Linked DNA regions of Arabidopsis thaliana. The protein of the gene in region 1 interacts with the protein of each later gene in a biochemical or structural test. Each region holds a gene or a part of one and is shown on either strand. Other genes may lie near its edges.

Evidence for each region.
Region 2: the proteins of BES1 (region 1) and BIM3 form a complex in vitro, tested with the Arabidopsis thaliana proteins (one study listed by BioGRID).
Region 3: the proteins of BES1 (region 1) and BIM2 form a complex in vitro, tested with the Arabidopsis thaliana proteins (one study listed by BioGRID).
Region 4: the proteins of BES1 (region 1) and MYB30 form a complex in vitro, tested with the Arabidopsis thaliana proteins (one study listed by BioGRID).

The regions. Positions count from the first base shown.
Region 1 is NC_003070.9:6,686,806-6,690,919, reverse strand, and holds BES1 (Brassinosteroid signaling positive regulator (BZR1) family protein), read right to left. Parts: upstream 2,386-4,114; 5' UTR 2,241-2,385; coding exon 2,182-2,240; exon of another isoform or gene 2,087-2,181; coding exon 1,816-2,086; intron 1,499-1,815; coding exon 755-1,498; 3' UTR 509-754; downstream 1-508. Other genes in the region: RRA3 (Nucleotide-diphospho-sugar transferase family protein), read left to right, coding at 1-248. UniProt on the Arabidopsis thaliana protein: Positive regulator of brassinosteroid (BR) signaling. Transcription factor that activates target gene expression by binding specifically to the DNA sequence 5'-CANNTG-3'(E box) through its N-terminal domain.
Region 2 is NC_003076.8:15,556,935-15,561,661, reverse strand, and holds BIM3 (BES1-interacting Myc-like protein 3), read right to left. Parts: upstream 2,762-4,727; 5' UTR 2,580-2,761; coding exon 2,425-2,579; intron 2,327-2,424; coding exon 2,251-2,326; intron 2,172-2,250; coding exon 2,076-2,171; intron 1,932-2,075; coding exon 1,594-1,931; intron 1,106-1,593; coding exon 976-1,105; intron 853-975; coding exon 751-852; 3' UTR 536-750; downstream 1-535. Other genes in the region: AT5G38850 (Disease resistance protein (TIR-NBS-LRR class)), read right to left, coding at 3,232-4,359, 4,451-4,727.
Region 3 is NC_003070.9:25,939,639-25,944,823, reverse strand, and holds BIM2 (BES1-interacting Myc-like protein 2), read right to left. Parts: upstream 3,196-5,185; 5' UTR 3,021-3,195; coding exon 2,915-3,020; intron 2,745-2,914; coding exon 2,660-2,744; intron 2,399-2,659; coding exon 2,329-2,398; intron 2,246-2,328; coding exon 2,150-2,245; intron 2,014-2,149; coding exon 1,652-2,013; intron 1,525-1,651; coding exon 1,395-1,524; intron 1,312-1,394; coding exon 1,225-1,311; 3' UTR 876-1,224; coding exon of another isoform or gene 677-875; 3' UTR 581-676; downstream 1-580. Other genes in the region: AT1G69020 (Prolyl oligopeptidase family protein), read left to right, coding at 82-298, 387-580, 677-875; MGP3 (male gametophyte defective 3), read left to right, coding at 4,069-4,830, 4,976-5,185. UniProt on the Arabidopsis thaliana protein: Positive brassinosteroid-signaling protein.
Region 4 is NC_003074.8:10,909,303-10,913,715, reverse strand, and holds MYB30 (myb domain protein 30), read right to left. Parts: upstream 2,585-4,413; 5' UTR 2,274-2,584; coding exon 2,141-2,273; exon of another isoform or gene 1,815-2,140; coding exon 1,685-1,814; intron 1,569-1,684; coding exon 860-1,568; 3' UTR 526-859; downstream 1-525.

The DNA.
Region 1 (4,114 bases):
ATCCTTCACATCCTGAGTACACTGCGCTACATGCATCCAAGAGAGTCATGGATATGTATGAGTTTATGAACAGTAAGGTCCTTTTCAAGACTGTAAGAAAGAATCATGAACTGAAGAAGAAAGTGAAACCAGTGATTGTTCATGTGAATTACCATCCAGATAAGCTCAATAGAATGCAAGCCGTCGTTGAGTTCTACGTTAACGGTAAGCAAGACGCGCTTGATAGCTTCCCCGATGGTTCTGAATGATTCACCTGAAAAGCAGATAGGCTAAAAAAAACTTTCCGAGTTTCTTGACATTTGTGATTCTAATATATTTCTCCCTTTTCCAATGTTTACTGCTTCATGCCTTCTACTTTCCTCTTTGTATTATGAATTTTTGTGTATCTTATGGCTAAAATCGCAAGTCTTTTTTTTCTTTCTTAACCTCTCTGATCTTGTTATTACATCCCAAGTCTTTGTTTTAGCCTCACTTGTTTTTCTCTGTTTCATCATCCGATATATAATTTACATTTCAAGCCACTTAATCATGTAATATATTTGTAATGTTTTCAAGACCTAAAAGGAATGATAATAGAAACATACATCTTAAACATTCTATCTACAAATAATGCGTTGTGAAACAAACTCACTGGTACAATGAATATCGATTCTAGAACAAGAACCAAAACCATGAACTGAATGAACAACACACTAATTCTCATTCTCCAATCCTTCCTTCCGACATGACATAACAGGTTCATGTATACTTCATCTCAACTATGAGCTTTACCATTTCCAAGCGTGAGCTCTAGATCCTCCATAGCCACATCATGGATCCTCTCCCCTTCCCATGGCTTAACTTGGCTGTTCTCAAACTTAAACTCGGAGCTTTGACCAATCTCTTGGATTGCTGCTGTGTTTGGAGACAATTGCTGTGGTGCAGGTTTCACGAGATTGAAGGTAGGCGAGGTTGGCACCATAGAGGCAGAGAATGGCTGTTGTTGTGCAAACTTTTGAAAGCTTATCCAATGACCAGAATCAACAGTGGAAGAGTCAGACTCATCACATTCAGGTATAGTAGCCGGAGCATGGAACTGGCGATGATGAGTAGGACTGGCAGGTGCAGACACCGCATAAAACGGGTAGTTCAAAGAAGTCATTGACTGTTTAGCAGCCATGGACATGGATTGTTTGGTAAAAGATTCCCAAGTAGGCAATGGTTTGGGGTTTCTAGAAGTTGGGGATGACACTGGTGGAGTGACAGGAGCACTGTTTGAGATTCTAAGTGGAGGAAGCGATGAAGGAATACCACCATTCCTGAGGAAAGGGAAGATTGTGGAGATATTGTGTGGATCACCAACTCGAGAAGGACTCGGGAATGAAGAAGAGGAAGGACTGACTTGGTAAGATAAGATGGGGCTATCAAAAGTGGAAGAAAGAGGACTTTGGTTATGGGAAGAGTAAGGAGTTGCTCGAGAAGATGATCCAGCCATGTCACCAGGTAGAGGCTTGTGTCCCTGTTGCTCATAGAACAATACCAAAAACATCACAATGTCACAATCAATCAAAAGCTAAAGGAGAGATCTAAATATAGTAACCAAGTGAAAGTAAAGCTAATTCGGTTCTCAAATTAGTAAGAAGAACCCTAAAGGTCACTTTCTCCGCAAGGAATCTCGATCCAATTTTAGAATAAAACTGAGCTTCCTCAGCTAAAAACCTCGAATTCATAGCCAAGAAAATCCCAATTTGACCAATTTCAAATCCAAATCTTCAGATTCAACAGCTAAATCATCAGATAACATCAGATCTAAGTAAAAATGCGTTTGATACTGACCTTGCGATAAGTAGTTCCGTCTTCTTCAACAACCCAACCAGCTTCAGAACAAAGAGCCTTAAGAACCTCATTGTTGTCACAATGTTTTGGAAGATTGTAGTTACCTTGAGCTCTAAGACCAGTATAAATCTTCGCCGCAACAGCTCTTCTCCGCCGCTCTCTTCTCCGATTGTTCTCCCTCTCTCTCCACGACGGTTTCCTCCTCGTCGCCATCGCTGCTGCTGCAGCTGCAGCTGACGTCGACGTTGCTCCGTCAGACGTCATCTTCTTCCTTCAACTCTCAAAACAATCCAACCACGGTTAAAAATGGAAATGGGTATTTGGATTCAGCTGAAGAAGAAGAATGAGTGAGAAGTTAGTGCTCACGAGGAATACGCTTTTTTTTTTCTTTCTTCTTCGCTGGAATTATAGAAGAATCTTTTCATTCATTATTTAAAATAAAAAAGCAAAAAGAATTCACCGTTGATTTGAGTTAAACCAGCCACGTGTCGATGATGAATGGTGAGGATAGGTGGTGGTGTACGTAACTTACAGTGTGGTTTCGCGTTTTGAAGAAGAAGTACGTTTTATGTTGTGTTTCTCTAAATCTGTGTAAGAAAAGGAGCTGATTTTATAAAGAGGAGAAAAAGATAGAGAGACATGTGGGGCCATTGTAATGAAGTGGGTCCTACACGAGTATGACCGGAAAACACACCATCTGATTGGTTTATGAGGGGATCGGCCATGTTAAATAAGAAAACAAATTGTTTTGAGCCTCATAACATTTAATGATTAGATTAATTTGTCACTATAGTATATGGATAAAAATAAAATAGTGTTTCACTATAGTATGAATAGAAGAAAATGAGTGCTTACTTTTGTCCTGACTGTTTATGTATCATGTGTTTATTCTTTAATTTTATCACATTACAAAATTATTTAGTAGATTATTTGTGAAAACGAATATACGTAAAATGGAGTGATACATGGTTTAGATTAAAAGTTAACTAAATAAACCCTTTATGAAATAGTATGGTTTTTTAGCCTTTACTTTCTATCGTATACGAGGCAACAAACTATAAAGACTCAATACATATGAGGGGAGACACTACGTACAACTAGTAAAATACCAAACCGACGGATTATATAGATTTCCAAAGAGAACTCGAGTGGAGAAGCATGGACGTGTTTGGATGTATAATTGGTATATTCAATTGTACTTTCGTAATACTTATCAACATTTTGAACTAGAAGCTCCGATCTTAGTGACAACTTGCGTTTGATAACACATGCTGATATAGTGATTCACTACTACATTTGAGATGGATTGTGTATATCAACATGACGGATGGTCAAGTTTCCGAACCAAGTTGTCTGAAAGCGAAGTTTAAGTCCTAAATTAAGTATTTGACAGTGTAGTTTGTTCATTCTATACTCGTGATATGCATTTTGTTGCGATGGTTTTGGTTTATTATTTCTTCCACTTGATGTTTTTCTTGAATAGTGGATGGAAATCGTGATTTCACAAAACTGTGTGATTGATAAAACAAAACATTCTACATCATTCTACTACTTCAAAATTTACTAAAGAGAGTCGAAAATGGAAATGTGAGGATATTCACACAACATTATTAAGTCAAACTGGAAAGCTCTATATTTGGAAATATCGTTAATTTTGTTTTGTGATTTGTAAGCATATTGTTTGATTGCTATAACAATCAGAGCCTATAATTCGGAATTATTGTTGGGACCTGCTCTTCATTGGTCATGATGATTTTCTTTAATTCTCATGTTTTTTTTTTTTTGACAATTGTATAGTTCATTGAACACAAAAGGAAAACTGGATAGTGGATTTGCCCCACAAATAGACCCATCAAAGCAGATATGATCTTCCAACGAGTAGTCACTTATTGAATTTATATTTAACACGCTTTTGCCTTTATTTTATTCATATTTTGTTGAAAAAGAAAAAGAAATCTAGTGAATAGCAGAATAGTGATACTAATATAGTATGTAATCTTACTGTACTGATAATATATTTAAATTTTATCTGAAACATCATCTGTTTATGAAAGGAAAAGGAAAAAGCTTACTAAATTGATGGTACAGTTCTGAGACAAAATAATCTTTAGTAACACTATACTTTTTTCAGGCTTACTCTAGTGTTGTCTTCTTCAAACGATGTCGTTTGCGATGAACCGAACCTTCCACTTCTTTCCAAGGGTTCTCTCCTAACTGTCCCCAGCTTGAGAATGAGTCATAGAGAAAAACGATCATGAGGGCCCAAGCCAGCCTTTTTCTTGGTTACACCCTAGGGAAT
Region 2 (4,727 bases), on another chromosome or scaffold:
CCCATTTCAGCCTCGTCCTCCTCTTCCCACTCCTCCTCCACCATGGTCTCTCTTTCCTCCACTGCCACCGATCTTTCCAGGCCTAAATCCACCACCACCACCTCCTCCTCCTCCTCCTCCACCTCCGTCGATCTTTCCATTTCCTCCATTCCCATTCCTACCACCACCAAACAAACCTGGCCCTCCTCCTGCTTCATCTCCTTCAGCAAACAAACAGCCTCCTTAATCGAACAAGAGTATCATAATATATACATATATATACCAAACATTTAGTCGAGAGATGAACTATCTGTTGTATAGACAGTCATATTTACATAAGGTTAAAGAATAAAGATGAGTTTTCAACTTCTACAGAATATTGCATCTGTTCTTGAATCTAAAGATCTAGATACTCTAGCTCAAATCAAGCTTGAGACACAAGAAAACAAGGACTCCTTTCTGCAAATCAAACGCATTACTTGATACAGACATGTCAACAAGCACGAAATAATTTCCCGGTTAATAGTGTGAGAAATAGAAGGGCAAGAAGTGATATATCTAAGAGACCATATACTTAAAGTACCATTAAATGGAGCAAACTCTTGTTATAGATTTGCGAAACTTGTTACATCATTCTACTTAGTTTTTACTATATCATTTAAAATAGTTGCAGCACGATAAAAGTAGTATCTACACCTACTGATCCTGACTCACCGAAAGTAACAAAATTATCAAACAGTTGTCATAACATAGAAAATAGAAAACCAGATCTTATCGTCTTATTCTCTTCTGGGAATGATCAATATCATTGCAGAAGCTTCTAGTTTCAGTAGGAGAGTCCCCTTCTTCATCAGCGATGCTATTACCATTATCCTAATGAAAAAGATACATAGCATCAAAATACAAATTAAAATACATAGAAATGTTTTTATAAGAATTACTTGCAGAGTAGTAGACTTCTTTTTCTTTTCCACTGTAAAAATGTTACAGGCATACCTCAGAAGCAAACGCAGCAACAGAATACTCGCGATCTTCTCTTTTCCGAAGGCTTAACTGCACAGATATCATGGTCTCTGACATGTTAACACCCGATGACTTAAGTGCTTCAGTTAGAGTGTTAAGTACCCTGTTCACAATCAAACCAAACAAGAGTTTTCAATCAAATCTCTCCATCTTTATTTCCTCCAGTTATCCGTTTTTAGAACCCTGAGTCTGTTCCAAATACAGAAGCAGATAGGATCTTCAGTTTGAATGACTACCTATTTAGGAGAGAGAAGCACTATTCAAAAGAGAAACTTTGGATTATGGTTATGCAAAATCTTTTCCTCTAACAATTACCAAGTTTACAGCATTTATCTCATACTCTATCCTACAGAACTTCATAGCCAAGGCAAACAAGAAGTCTCCGCAAATAGCTGAGGCATCATTGGAACCTTGTATTATATCATTCTCTCTTAGTATCCAAAAAAGGTAAGCCACTGTTTAAGGAGAGCCAGACAGGAAGGAAATGAGTGTACATCCGTGAGAAACTATATACCAACCCAAACTTTCTACCAAAAAAATGAATTAATTACTGAACAAAAAAAGCTTTATTTTGCTCTACATATGTCTTACCTTTGTGAGCAGACAGTGGACAAGCTGGCTGATGTTTTTTCGTCAGATGTTAACAATTCATTTGTAAAACAGTTAATTGTTCCACAACTTGTTTTTGGTTGCCAAAAGTCATGCTGAACAAACTGCAGCGAAGGCTCGGTACGTAGATACGATGAAACTGCTGAAACAGGACTGTGTTCAGGAATCTTGGTGCTAACTGCTGAGTCAATATCAGGATTTACTGAATTGTACGTATCCAAGAGAAAACCCGAAGAAGCAGCAACTTTATCATTACTTGAAAAGCTTTTAACGATTTGAGGATGGTCATTTTCCTCCGCAACAGACCCATGACTATTTCTCTGCATCAAAGTTACATGAAACAGTTGTCAAAAATACCAAGAAAGATGAAACACTTAACACAATAACCATGTTTCTCTAAAAAAATGTAACAAAAACGATTCAATATAACAGAAAACCAACCAAAGATAGGAGAAGGAATATACCCAAGGAATCAATTTGGTTGGGGATTGATACCACATTTGGTGAGAATCTTCATACATGTGAACTTTTTCTTGAAGAAAGTGAATATACTCTATAACCTGAGACAACATATAAAAGCAAACATCATTCTGATTCTCTGAAACACATGTTCTGTTCAAAACTATAAATTTTACTAACCTCCAACAAGAAAGAAGCTTTATCTCGTTTCTGATCATTCTGATTCTGAGGTATAATATCCATTAAACTCTGAAATCTGTATCCACCAACCAACAATCACAAATTACGAAACTTTCTTGTTACCCTTTTTAGAAAATCTGATAAAAATTCAAACTTTGAACACTTATTATTTACCTTTCATTGATTTTGCTTCTTCTTCGTTGCTCAGTCTCTGAGTGTTTCGATCTACACGAGTTTCGATTTCTCCTCCCTGTTGAAGAATCATTTCGAGAAGGCAAGTTACTGTATACATCTGCTTCTAACTGATCATCGATATCATGAGAGTTCATAGTTCGATGAAGTACGACGAACTCGACCCCGGAGATGGCGCAGTGACCGAAACTCCGGCGAGTGAGACAGAGACTGTGATTGATTTTTGTGTAGGTGTGTTCGTCGAGAAGGTGAAAAGAAAAGGAAGATAAAATCGAAAATTACATAGATAATGTGAAAGGCTCAAAAGCCCATTTAAAACGGATAGTTTCAGGCCCAAATTAATTCACTGTTGTTGCTACTATCAATTTTGTCAGTTTTCACGATCCGTACACTGCATTTCAGTAATATTTGCTGCATCCGAATTCAAACAGTATGATGCTACTACTCATCATATCCAACTCAGTGAAGCAGCCAAACAAGTCATTGTAAAGTATAAACAGATATTCTTTCCTCACTTGCAAATTCGTTCGACTTCTCCACTTTGATATTCTCCTTCTTGCTTCTCTCATCTTCCTCCCCAAACTAAACTTCCGATGCTTCTCACAATATGGGAGACATCAAAACAGATGATGAGCCAACTCCAACAATCTGTGTATTTGTTGGCTTCGATCTTGTCTTCGTTCGAAGTACAGATTAGGCTATCATTATGTCCATTATTTTTAGAGCATTCCAATGCTTCCACGGGTCCAAACTCATAGCTCCAATCGTTTTCATCTTCACAAACTTGGTCTATTTCATATTCATTTCTCCTTTCACTGATTTCACCTGTTCATCTGTATAGAATCTGACACCACACTCAATAATCTCATAGGTGTCGGATATGTTGCTGAATTCAAACAGTATCTCGTTGCCTACTTCATGACATTTTTCCTTGTTATGCAAGTCAGAGTGAAACATAACTAGATGTTCTGCTCGAGGTTTGGGGATAATATAAATAGGTGTTTCGTCATCGGAGCAACCGATTTTGCCAATGCGAGGACAAAATAAGGGAGAATTGCTAGTTTCTTCAGCATCATGGTTAGGGGAAATCACGAGGAAAACCTTAAATCCAAAGAATGCAGAAAAAGGAGTCTTGCCCTCGAGACGAACGGTGATGGAATGTCCGGTAGATCGGTGGTATAAGTCAGTGGGCAACTCTCTTCCAGGTAAGGATGCCCACCCATGAGAAAATGATTGTTGAATAATTCCTCTGCGTGCTTCTTGGTTTAGTTTGAAGCAGTTGGTGAAGCTGAGTTCCATGTATGAAGTATTAAAAGGGCAAGATACGCTCTCAAGTGATTCACACTCGTTTGCTGATAAGTACAAGAGCGAACCAGGAAGCTCTGGCAATGATGCGAGTTTTCTGCAGCCACCTAGAAATAAAATTTGCAGCCCATGAACATTTTTGATGTCATCTGGAATCTTCTCAATTCTAGTCTCGCTGAGGTCTAGATATGTTAGGTTTAGGGGCACATGTGTTACTATCTTGAGGTTTCTACTTTTGTATATTTCGAGAGTACGTAGGCGAGACCACATCGTCATTGATTCAGGTAGTTCTTCCACATCAGTGTATGATATGTCGAGTGAACTGATGTTTGTAGAAATATCTGGAAAGCTTTTTAATCTTGAGCATCCATACATGTTGACCAATTCAAGAGACTTCAAGTTGATATGAGGTGGAACTTCTTTTAGCCTTCTGCATCCCATCATATTCAAATACTTTAGCTTATGCAGATAAGAAAAGGAGGAAGGAAGCTCTACTAAATTCTGGCAAGCTCTCAGATCCAATTCTTCGAGATTTGTAGCATTTGACAGATCCGGAAGTTTCTTTAAATACCATGAACTTGACAAAGACATCTTCTTGAGATTTGCAAGGGGCTGAATGTAAACCAGATGTTAGAGTAGAAACATCAGAATAGAGAGAAAATATGTATAACATCATTAAAGATATGAATTTATGATAACTAACCTGAGTTCCATCCCATAGCTTCTCGAGCAGGCTACCTTCCATATCAAGTTCGACAAGATATTCCAGGTTAAGTTTAAGAGAAAGACTTCTCCTCGGATATGCTTCCCACTGTAGTAACCTTAGACGAGGTGGAAACTCCATGTTCTCCGGTATGCGCACTCTGTTTTTTTCATCATATCCAGTCTTAAACACCCTGAGGAATTGGAGATTACACAATCTTTTAAAAGCTCTCTCGCTTAAAAAAACTTCGCCGATTCTGGATATATCAAATGATATC
Region 3 (5,185 bases), about 19 Mb from region 1:
CATTTGCTTCAAGTTGACATCACTTGGTATAATAGTGGTTGATTTGAATGTGCTTCTATAAGAGTTTTATTTTGGCCTCAGGGGAGGAGGCAGTGGGGAGTTTTCATGGCACAAATCCGGAACTAGATCGTTGAAACAAAATTCAATCCAAGATTTCATATACAGTGCTAAATATCTAGTCGAAAAAGGCTATGTGCATAGACATCATCTTGCTGCTGTTGGGTACAGTGCAGGAGCTATTCTTCCAGCTGCAGCTATGAATATGCACCCGAGTCTATTTCAAGCTGTGATTTTGAAGGTAAGAATATTATGGCATAGCAAATGCATTAAGTTGTGTCCAGAATAATCAAAAGCTCAAATCATTAAGGTGTGTACCATTTGGGCAGGTTCCTTTTGTAGATGTATTAAACACATTATCGGATCCAAATTTACCTCTCACACTCCTGGACCATGAAGAATTCGGGAACCCAGACAACCAAACTGACTTCGGATCGATCCTTAGCTATTCTCCATATGATAAGATACGAAAAGATGTTTGCTATCCGTCCATGCTTGTCACTACTTCGTTTCATGACTCAAGGCAAGCTAGCTTCACAAAAGAACCCTTAAACCCATATCTCTTTTTTGTTTTAAGTAAGAATCTTTGGATCATAGTTTGCGTGTGTTATTGGGTCAGGGTTGGAGTATGGGAAGGTGCAAAATGGGTGGCTAAGATAAGGGATAGTACGTGCCACGACTGCTCCCGAGCTGTGATTCTGAAAACAAATATGAACGGAGGGCATTTTGGTGAAGGTGGTCGCTATGCTCAATGCGAAGAGACTGCCTTTGATTATGCTTTTCTTCTCAAAGTTATGGGTCATCACAACAATAGATAAAAGCATCACATCATCTTTGGTTTAGCATCAAATGATTTTATAATAGTCTTTCACTTTAAGGTTAAGAGATTGCTAGCCTTTGATCTCGCTCTCTCAACAAAAAAGGAAGATCAAATCGGAAAAAAATGATGCAATAACTTGAAACCACAAGAGATCATATTTGATAGGTTACATGAATGATGCAGAAGATGATACAAACTCAGAACCACAAAAAAACGCAGAATCTACTAACCAAAGTTTATCTTAACGAGTACTATAGGAACCCCTAGAAGCCGAACAATGTACACGATACAAGGAATCTGTCAATACATTTATATATTCCAGCGCCGTGGAGCCTGAGAGAGAAATGTCACAGTGTTTTCATCCGCTTGTGAGAATGTTCAGATTCTTCCTCAACGCTTGAATCCCTTCCTTGCGTATCATATGATAATGGATTCTGTATAGAAAAATGTATCAACATCATGATATATGGCTATTGTTACAAAACTAAGTATGAAGCATTTCGAACCAACTATTTACCTTACTTGATGGCTCTTCATGAGTTAGACCTTGATTGGCTCGCTTCCCAAGATCGATCTGCACAGAAAGCTTTGCTTGCGACAGATCAATGCCTGCATTCTGGAGTGCTTGTGTTAATGAGCTCAATAACCTGGCCATTTCAGAATTAATGTCTCACAAGATTAGTACACAATGCAGTTAAAAAAAAAGGGTAGAAGCGAACACATCAATGGCAGCACAGTAACAGAAACGAGGAAGACTTAGAAGATCAGACTCACTCATGCGAGTAGGCACTAGAGATGCTAATGGTTCCACCTTCAATAACCAGGTCATTACTTTGGCCTAGCCCATCACTAGTTGCAGGACATTCATTAGCTTGTTCGCCTTGTACCATTGGAAGAATTGGTTGTAGTGGTGGTAATCCTTTGTCGTCTAACTCAGGTTGACTTTCAATCGATATGCCGGTTATAGCTCTTGCTTTGTCAGATTCAATCGGGATTTGCGGTTCTGCAATAATTGCAGGTGTCGAAGTCACAGTGTTGTCTTCAAACTTTCCAGGAAAAGGTATCCCTGGACCAGATCCATTATTTATAGCTACTGGGTGGTTCCCCAAACTTTGAACTCGCCAATGATTATTCCTCTGTTCCAATCAAGAAAACATAACCTTCAGCTAAAAGTCACACAAAGAAAGCCTTGCGGGTGCAAAAACATACTCAGAATCTACAATCACAGAAACTCATTGAGAAACCGACATAAGAAGAAGCTCAAAACTTTACCCATGGCGTCAACTTTGTTGGTTCCTGACTCCAACCTGGATACGATCCTTCATACTTTTGCACCTTCTCTTGTAAATACTGAACATAATCTATCACCTAGAATGGAATAGCGGTATTAAGCTAACAACATCTAAAAGACAGGATATTCGCACAAAGCATCATCAAATACCATGACATACCTCTAAAAGGAATGAAGCAGTGTCACGTTTTTGTTCACTGTTGGGAATTAGTTCTCTCAATATCTGAAATCTGAGAAGAGATTTATGAATTCAGCACTCAGAACAAGAACAATAATTATAATGTAACTAAGTCCTATATCAAACACCACAAAACTGAAGCAGAGCAAAATTCCCAAACACAAGTCCTAAGTATTCTTATGATTTTGTTAGCAAAGTAATTGAATTTTGATTCAGATATCAAAACAAAGAATGTCGCGTTTACTCCTAATCTCAAGTTCTCACAAAAACAACAATCCAAAAAGTTTGAAATCCTCACTTTATATCAACATACCTTTCATTGATTTTGCTTCTTCTACGTTGCTCAGTGACCGAATGTTTAGAACGTATCGCACTAGCTTTATCATTTTCCTTTGAATCTGCTTTCAAAATCAAACACCGAATCACACAGAGACAAAACTTAGAAAAATCTAATCCCAAACTATTCAAATCCATCTCGATACATATCAACAATAGCTCCAACCAAAACACAAATTGACGAAACAACAACTAAGAAAAATTCAAAAGTCTCCCAAATCGAACAATTTACCTCTGTTGCTATGAACAGTAGTGTTGGAAGAAGGACCTTCACGTTTAGAGTTAAAGTCTTCTTCTCCGTAATCTTCTTCCTCTTGATTTCCTTTTCCGGTTCTCATCTTCGCCGGAGAATTTCGACTGTTTATTGTTTTATTTTCAACTTTTGCCGTCGACGAGCTCTTTTTTGTTGCTTATTTGTTTTTTGTTTTTTGGGTGCCTCGTGACTCGGCTGAGTTCTAGTTAGCTGTGGGAGAGACTACGTGAGTTTACTTGAGCTTTTGTCCGTCAGTTTCGTGATTTGGAGACGTGTACGACTTGATGTGATTACCCGGTTAGGCCTCTAAATGAACCGTAGCTTGTGATGACACGTGGGATTCACGTGATAAGACGAGATTCTAACCTATCAGATTTAAGGTGGTCACGTGATGCACGTGGTCTCTTTCTGATCTGTTAATTTTCACGTACTATGTTTGTTTCTAATCGAACGGTGACATATGGCTATGTTTCCAAAACAATACTATAAAGGGCCGAATGGAATTATCAGACTTGGGCCAAACCCAAACTTTACAAAGGAAAAAAAGAAGTAACATATGCCTATGTTTCCAAAACAATACTATACCTTATTCGAATTTATCAGACATGGGCTAAGCCCAAAAGTTACAAAAAAAAAAAAAAGAGTAACAATACTATCAGAGCCAGGTTTCGATCCTGGGACCTGTGGGTTATGGGCCCACCACGCTTCCGCTGCGCCACTCTGATTTGTTGTTGTAATGTTAATTAGGTATATATTTATCATGGTAATGTATAACTCGTGCCAGAATATGGGCTTTGAGCCCAAATAAGAGCGTAACGGATCTGATAAGCGGGTCGGGTTTGACAAGATCCATGAAATGTGAAGCAGAAACCAAAGGTTTTATGAAGGGTTTATTTCGGCGGCTGTGTTTGTACTTCACGGCGCCTTCTCTTTTCTCCAGATCTCTCTTCTCTTCACCCAAGTCTTGTTTTTAATCTGTTCTTCGAATCTGAACTCTTTGATTTCTATGTTTGTATTAATAACTCTACAAAATCAAGTAGCTACATAGCCCGAGATTGTGCTCGTGGAGGCAGTAAACTATCTGAAGCAGCCACTATTACCATTTCGTGGCGATCACAAAAACGATTCAAAAAATGTGGAGGAACATTCTGGGAAGAGCTTCATTGAGAAAGGTTAAGTTTTTATCTGATTCTAGCTCCTCCGGTACTCATTATCCAGTGAATAGAGTCCGTGGGATTCTGTCTTCTGTTAATCTCAGTGGCGTTAGAAATGGTTTATCTATAAATCCAGTCAACGAAATGGGTGGATTAAGCTCGTTTCGTCATGGTCAATGTTATGTGTTTGAAGGGTATGCTACAGCTGCGCAAGCTATTGATTCGACTGATCCTGAAGATGAGTCTTCTGGGTCTGATGAAGTTAATGAATTGATAACGGAAATGGAGAAAGAAACTGAGAGAATCCGTAAAAAAGCTAGGCTTGCAGCTATACCGCCAAAGAGAGTCATTGCGGGAATGGGAGCACAGAAGTTCTATATGCTGAAGCAGAGACAGGTGAAAATGGAGACTGAAGAATGGGAAAGAGCAGCGAGAGAGTGTAGAGAGATTCTAGCTGATATGTGTGAGCAGAAGCTTGCACCGAATTTACCTTATATGAAGTCTTTGTTTCTAGGCTGGTTTGAGCCTGTGCGTAATGCTATTCAAGATGATCTTGATACTTTTAAAATCAAGAAAGGGAAGATTCCGTATGCGCCTTTTATGGAGCAGTTACCGGCTGATAAGATGGCTGTTATCACTATGCATAAGATGATGGGATTGTTGATGACTAATGCGGAAGGCGTTGGCATTGTTAAGCTAGTGAATGCTGCTACTCAGATCGGGGAAGCTGTTGAGCAGGAGGTGGGTTTTAATTTCTCTTGTTGCTTTTGATGCTATTTCATGATGTGTGAATCTAGGAATGTGTCATTGATACATATTGCCTTGTCCCCATGGGGTATGAAGTGTATATTGGTTTGATGGTTTGTGTATTTTGTTACTGGATCAGGTCAGGATCAACAGTTTTTTGCAGAAAAAGAATAAAAAAAATGCAACTGACAAGACGATCAATACAGAAGCTGAGAATGTTTCAGAAGAAATTGTGGCCAAAGAAACGGAAAAGGCGAGGAAACAAGTTACTGTACTGATGGAAAAAAATAAGTTGAGGCAAGTAAAAGCATTAGTGAGGAAACATGACTCATTCAAGCCATGGGGTCAA
Region 4 (4,413 bases), on another chromosome or scaffold:
GTGATGTAAGTCACACAACTCACAAGGTCACAAGAAAGAAAGTCAAACTTTAATTCTTCATCACTTTCAATATTTATAGTGCCAATCCATCCCGTTTTTAAAATTTATATTTATCTTTTTATAATTAGTTTCTTTAAACCTTGTCGGCCCTATTTATTTCATGCAATAAATATTTCGTTAATTTTTCTTTACTAGTACTATTTTCTTTATTAGTAGGTCTTTCAAATTCACCAATAGTAAGGCTATCTTTAAATCTAAGATTTCATTTATTGAGCGGCGCCATTTGACACTCTAAAATAAATGTTAAGTGTTTTCCTTAGTGAGTTAACGGTTAATTTAAGGAAAATAAATTGACAATTAAGTGCAAGTTGTAAGTATTTGATTATTAATTCTATATCCCACACTTACTAGGCTACTACACATTAGGACTAATTAATCCGGATATGAGCGAGCATTTTTTGGTCATTCTCCAATATATATATGTAATTTTTTTGTCAGTGTATGTTTAATTTGTAACAGAATTACTTTTAGGTTAACATCTCAAAAGTAAATCATACTTACAAGTTACAAAGCAAAAGAAAAATCAAGCAATAACAACATTTTAATAAATAAAAAATAGATATAGGATTTTACACCAATACTACTAAAATCATTGGGTGGACATTTTTCAGGCCCCTTCAGAATTCACAGGGCCATATATAAAACAACCCCATCATTAATTGTAAATTAAAGAGGGAAAATAAATAAAATTATTACTGATTTATCTCACGATAATCTAAGCGAGTTAATTTGGAAAACCCAAAAAAAAAAATAGAGATGAGGATCCTAAAATTAGAACCATGTGATTAAAGCAAACTCTTCAGAAGAAATTAGTGTTTTCATCCAATAGAATATCACCAATCTGTCCACCAGAATCCTCAAACAACCACTTCTCAAACAAAGACCATTGACTTTGGTTACTGCAGCATCCAGTTATGTCTGGTTTGGTCTCATGATCAGGTGAAACACCAGCCTGTTGATATGAGTGATCAAACTCAGAAAATGACTGAAATGCCCCTGCACACTCCTTCCCATCATCACTCTTGATCACTTCTTTTACCTCTGTAGAAGCGATTTGATCCGCGGAGTTTTGAGTCTTCGGCGAGTTTTTCACCCACCCTTTGAGCAATTTCGCGATATTTTCGGTGCTTGAGGCATAAGTTGTAGATGTTTCTTGCGTCCTAAGAAACCCGCTAGCTGAGGAAGTAGAGCGTCTTGATTCAGCAGAGGAAGACGTTGTTGTCACTGTAGATGTAATGATTGGTGCAACGGCAGGAGATAAAGCCTCAGAGAGAGCCTTTTTCGCCAAGTGGATATCGGTTTGAAGTCGCCTTTCCCATTGGCCTCTTGAGATGTTTGAGTTGGAATTAGCAGAAGAAGACGATGGTGAAGATGAGAGCGAGGAACGGTCAAGTTCTTGATGAGAATCTTGATTGACTTTGTTGAGTTTCTTCTTCAAATGAGTGTTCCAATAGTTCTTAATGTCATTGTCTGTCCTTTGTGGAAGATATGACGCAATTGCAGCCCATCTACACCAAATATTAAATGCTCTCTATTAAAAATCAAAACAAATCTTCTAATTTTCGAAAGAAAATGTGTGAAGAGACAAAATTAGAGAAATTGAAAAGTCATTATTATTTTTTACCTATTTCCTAAGAGGGCTTGGAGATGAACAATCATCTTTTCTTCATGTTCTGTGAAATTGCCTCTTTTGATTCCTGGCCTTAAATAGTTTGTCCATCTAAGTCTACAACTCTTGCTGCATCTAAGCAGCCCTGAAAATTTATAAGAACGAACAAATATTGAGAACCGATGAGAAAATATATAAATAACAAGATCTCATGCATTAGATCTTAATTTCATGGTCAATAAACAAAACCCTAATTTCTACATATGTTTTCATTAAGCTGATTCCACAATCTTAAAGACCTAAAGAAGAACCAAATGAAGATCAAAACCAATTTGGAGAACACAAATTTCAATCCAAACCAATTTGATTCCTTGTCTATCTCTCACTCTCATAGATTAAATCCAAATAATATCTACATACAAATCTATAGAGAGGTAGAGAGGAGAGATGATGAATGAAGATTATACATACCAGTATTGGTAGGAACAGCTCTCCAATTACCAGGACCATGTTCTTGGATGTAAGTGACTAAAATGATATCTTCTTCAGGAGTCCATGGCCCTTTCTTCACTCCTCCTTTGTCACAACAAGGAGGCCTCACCATTATGATCTTGAACTCCCTTAATTAACTAATTAATTCTTTATTAACCACTCCCTTTGTTTCCCACTATAACTCTTTGCCAAGAAAAATAGAAGAAAATTGAAACTACTTTAGGTGGTAATGAGTCACACTACCCTTAGTACACTAATTAGTACGCTTAGCTCTGAAATGGATCTAATGGTTAAGCTTGGCGACAAAGGTCTATGTCCACTTCTTCTTCTATATATATATATAAAAGGAGAAAGAGAAATTTGCTGACCCCTCTTGGTCTTGGACTCTTGGGTCTCTCAAATTGTATAGATAATAAATAAAAGTATATAAAAAATGTGTAAAGCATTAACTACAAAAGTGGAGGTAAAGCCTCCAAAGTCAGCTGTGTGGCAAAAGGAAAAGTCTCTACCCTCCATACAAAACCGCGTGGCATTCAATGTGGGCTTGCTTCTTTCAAAAACCCTAATAACACAAACAAAAAAAATATTATTGGGTTTAATAATTTATTGGTTTATGTTATTATTAAAAAATAAAGAATAATGGGGACATGCATGATAACATGATAATGATATATGATATGATATCTCCCTCTCTCACTTTTGATTTATTGCTACGATAATTTTAAGAATTGAATAGTGGCTATTGCATTTATGTGTATTGCATAGGCTTTGTTAATAATAGAAATTAATGAAAGGGTCTTTTGACGAACGAGATTTTCTCTGCGTCATGATTTGCTGTTTTGGTTGTTTTTTTATCAAAACGAATAGTTTTTTTTTTTAAGATATAGAAGAAAAGAAAAAATTGCTGTTTTGGATTGAACCAGTGGGTCTTTGGCCATTGTCAAACTACATGATGGTCTACGTCATTCATGATGTTAGCGACTTCTCCATATATAGATTTATATGCGTTTATATGTATTACGTTACATAAACATATATGAATACATGATGTTGAACGTTTTATTCGGGTAAGGTTCGCGATTAGTGTTAATGGACCACAATTTGAGTTTATAGTAAACATAGTTTTAGATGGAATTAATTGTACGTTACATATGTCGTTATCGTAGGTGGTGAAAAGAAATATAGAGATATTTGTATGAGAATTTGGTATACAAGATAATGAAGATTTTTGGATTTGATAGACACAAGTCATACAGCCACATTAAGTTTTGATGAAATTAATTGTACGTTATATATGTCAATATCGTAGGTGGTGAAAAGAGATTAAGAGATATTTGTATGAGAATTTGGTATAGTAGATAATGAAGATTTTGGATTGATAGACACAAGTCATATACAACTATATCTATTTATGTGAACATGTGTATGTATGTAAATGTCAACAAGTAAAAAGGATGAAATCAATTTGGTTTTCACGAGGCCGGAAGAAAAGGAAGAAGAAGAGACACGAGACTACTTTAATTTCTTCTCTTTTGTCAATGTTGTGCTATAATTTATTTATATAGGTAGGAATTTTGAATGACAATTTGTACAAGTGTGAAATTTTCACTTTGTGGAAAGTTTATGATTTACGTTAGATATAATAATAAAGTTGTGTTAAACAGGCTGTTTAATCAAACATATGGAATGAAACTCGAAAAGGTTTTTGTCTACATAACCACTTTGAAAATGCATGGTCTTTCTTTAATCATAAACAAAACTGCTTAAGTATGTTTTTTTTCCACGTACAATGTCCCGTTTTCTGTTTAACCATTAGTAAAACGGTAAGTAGATATCTTACTGTTTTCATTTGTATTATTTTTATTTACTAAGAAGTAATTTTTATCCATTAAAAATATAGATATATTTTTTAAAGAAATATTAAATTATATTCAAAGAAAAATAACATTTGTACCGTGAAATTGAAATGAGGTACAAGAATTTGCTACTTAATTTCGAGAGTCGAACCAAGTTTGTAATCCTTTGTAATTTTGTTTTGTTTACAGGTTAGATTCGTATCTTTTGGATTTGAAATTTTTTTAATTTTTTTTTTACAAGTTCATCATTACATTGAATTATCACTCCTTGCCATAATATTTTAGTACCAAGTTGCAAATCCGAATTTTTATTGAATGTAATTATGTAATACGAAAATTCGACGGCCACAAAAATGGGAGATGTATACTTTATAATATATTGTAATAGATTTGGTA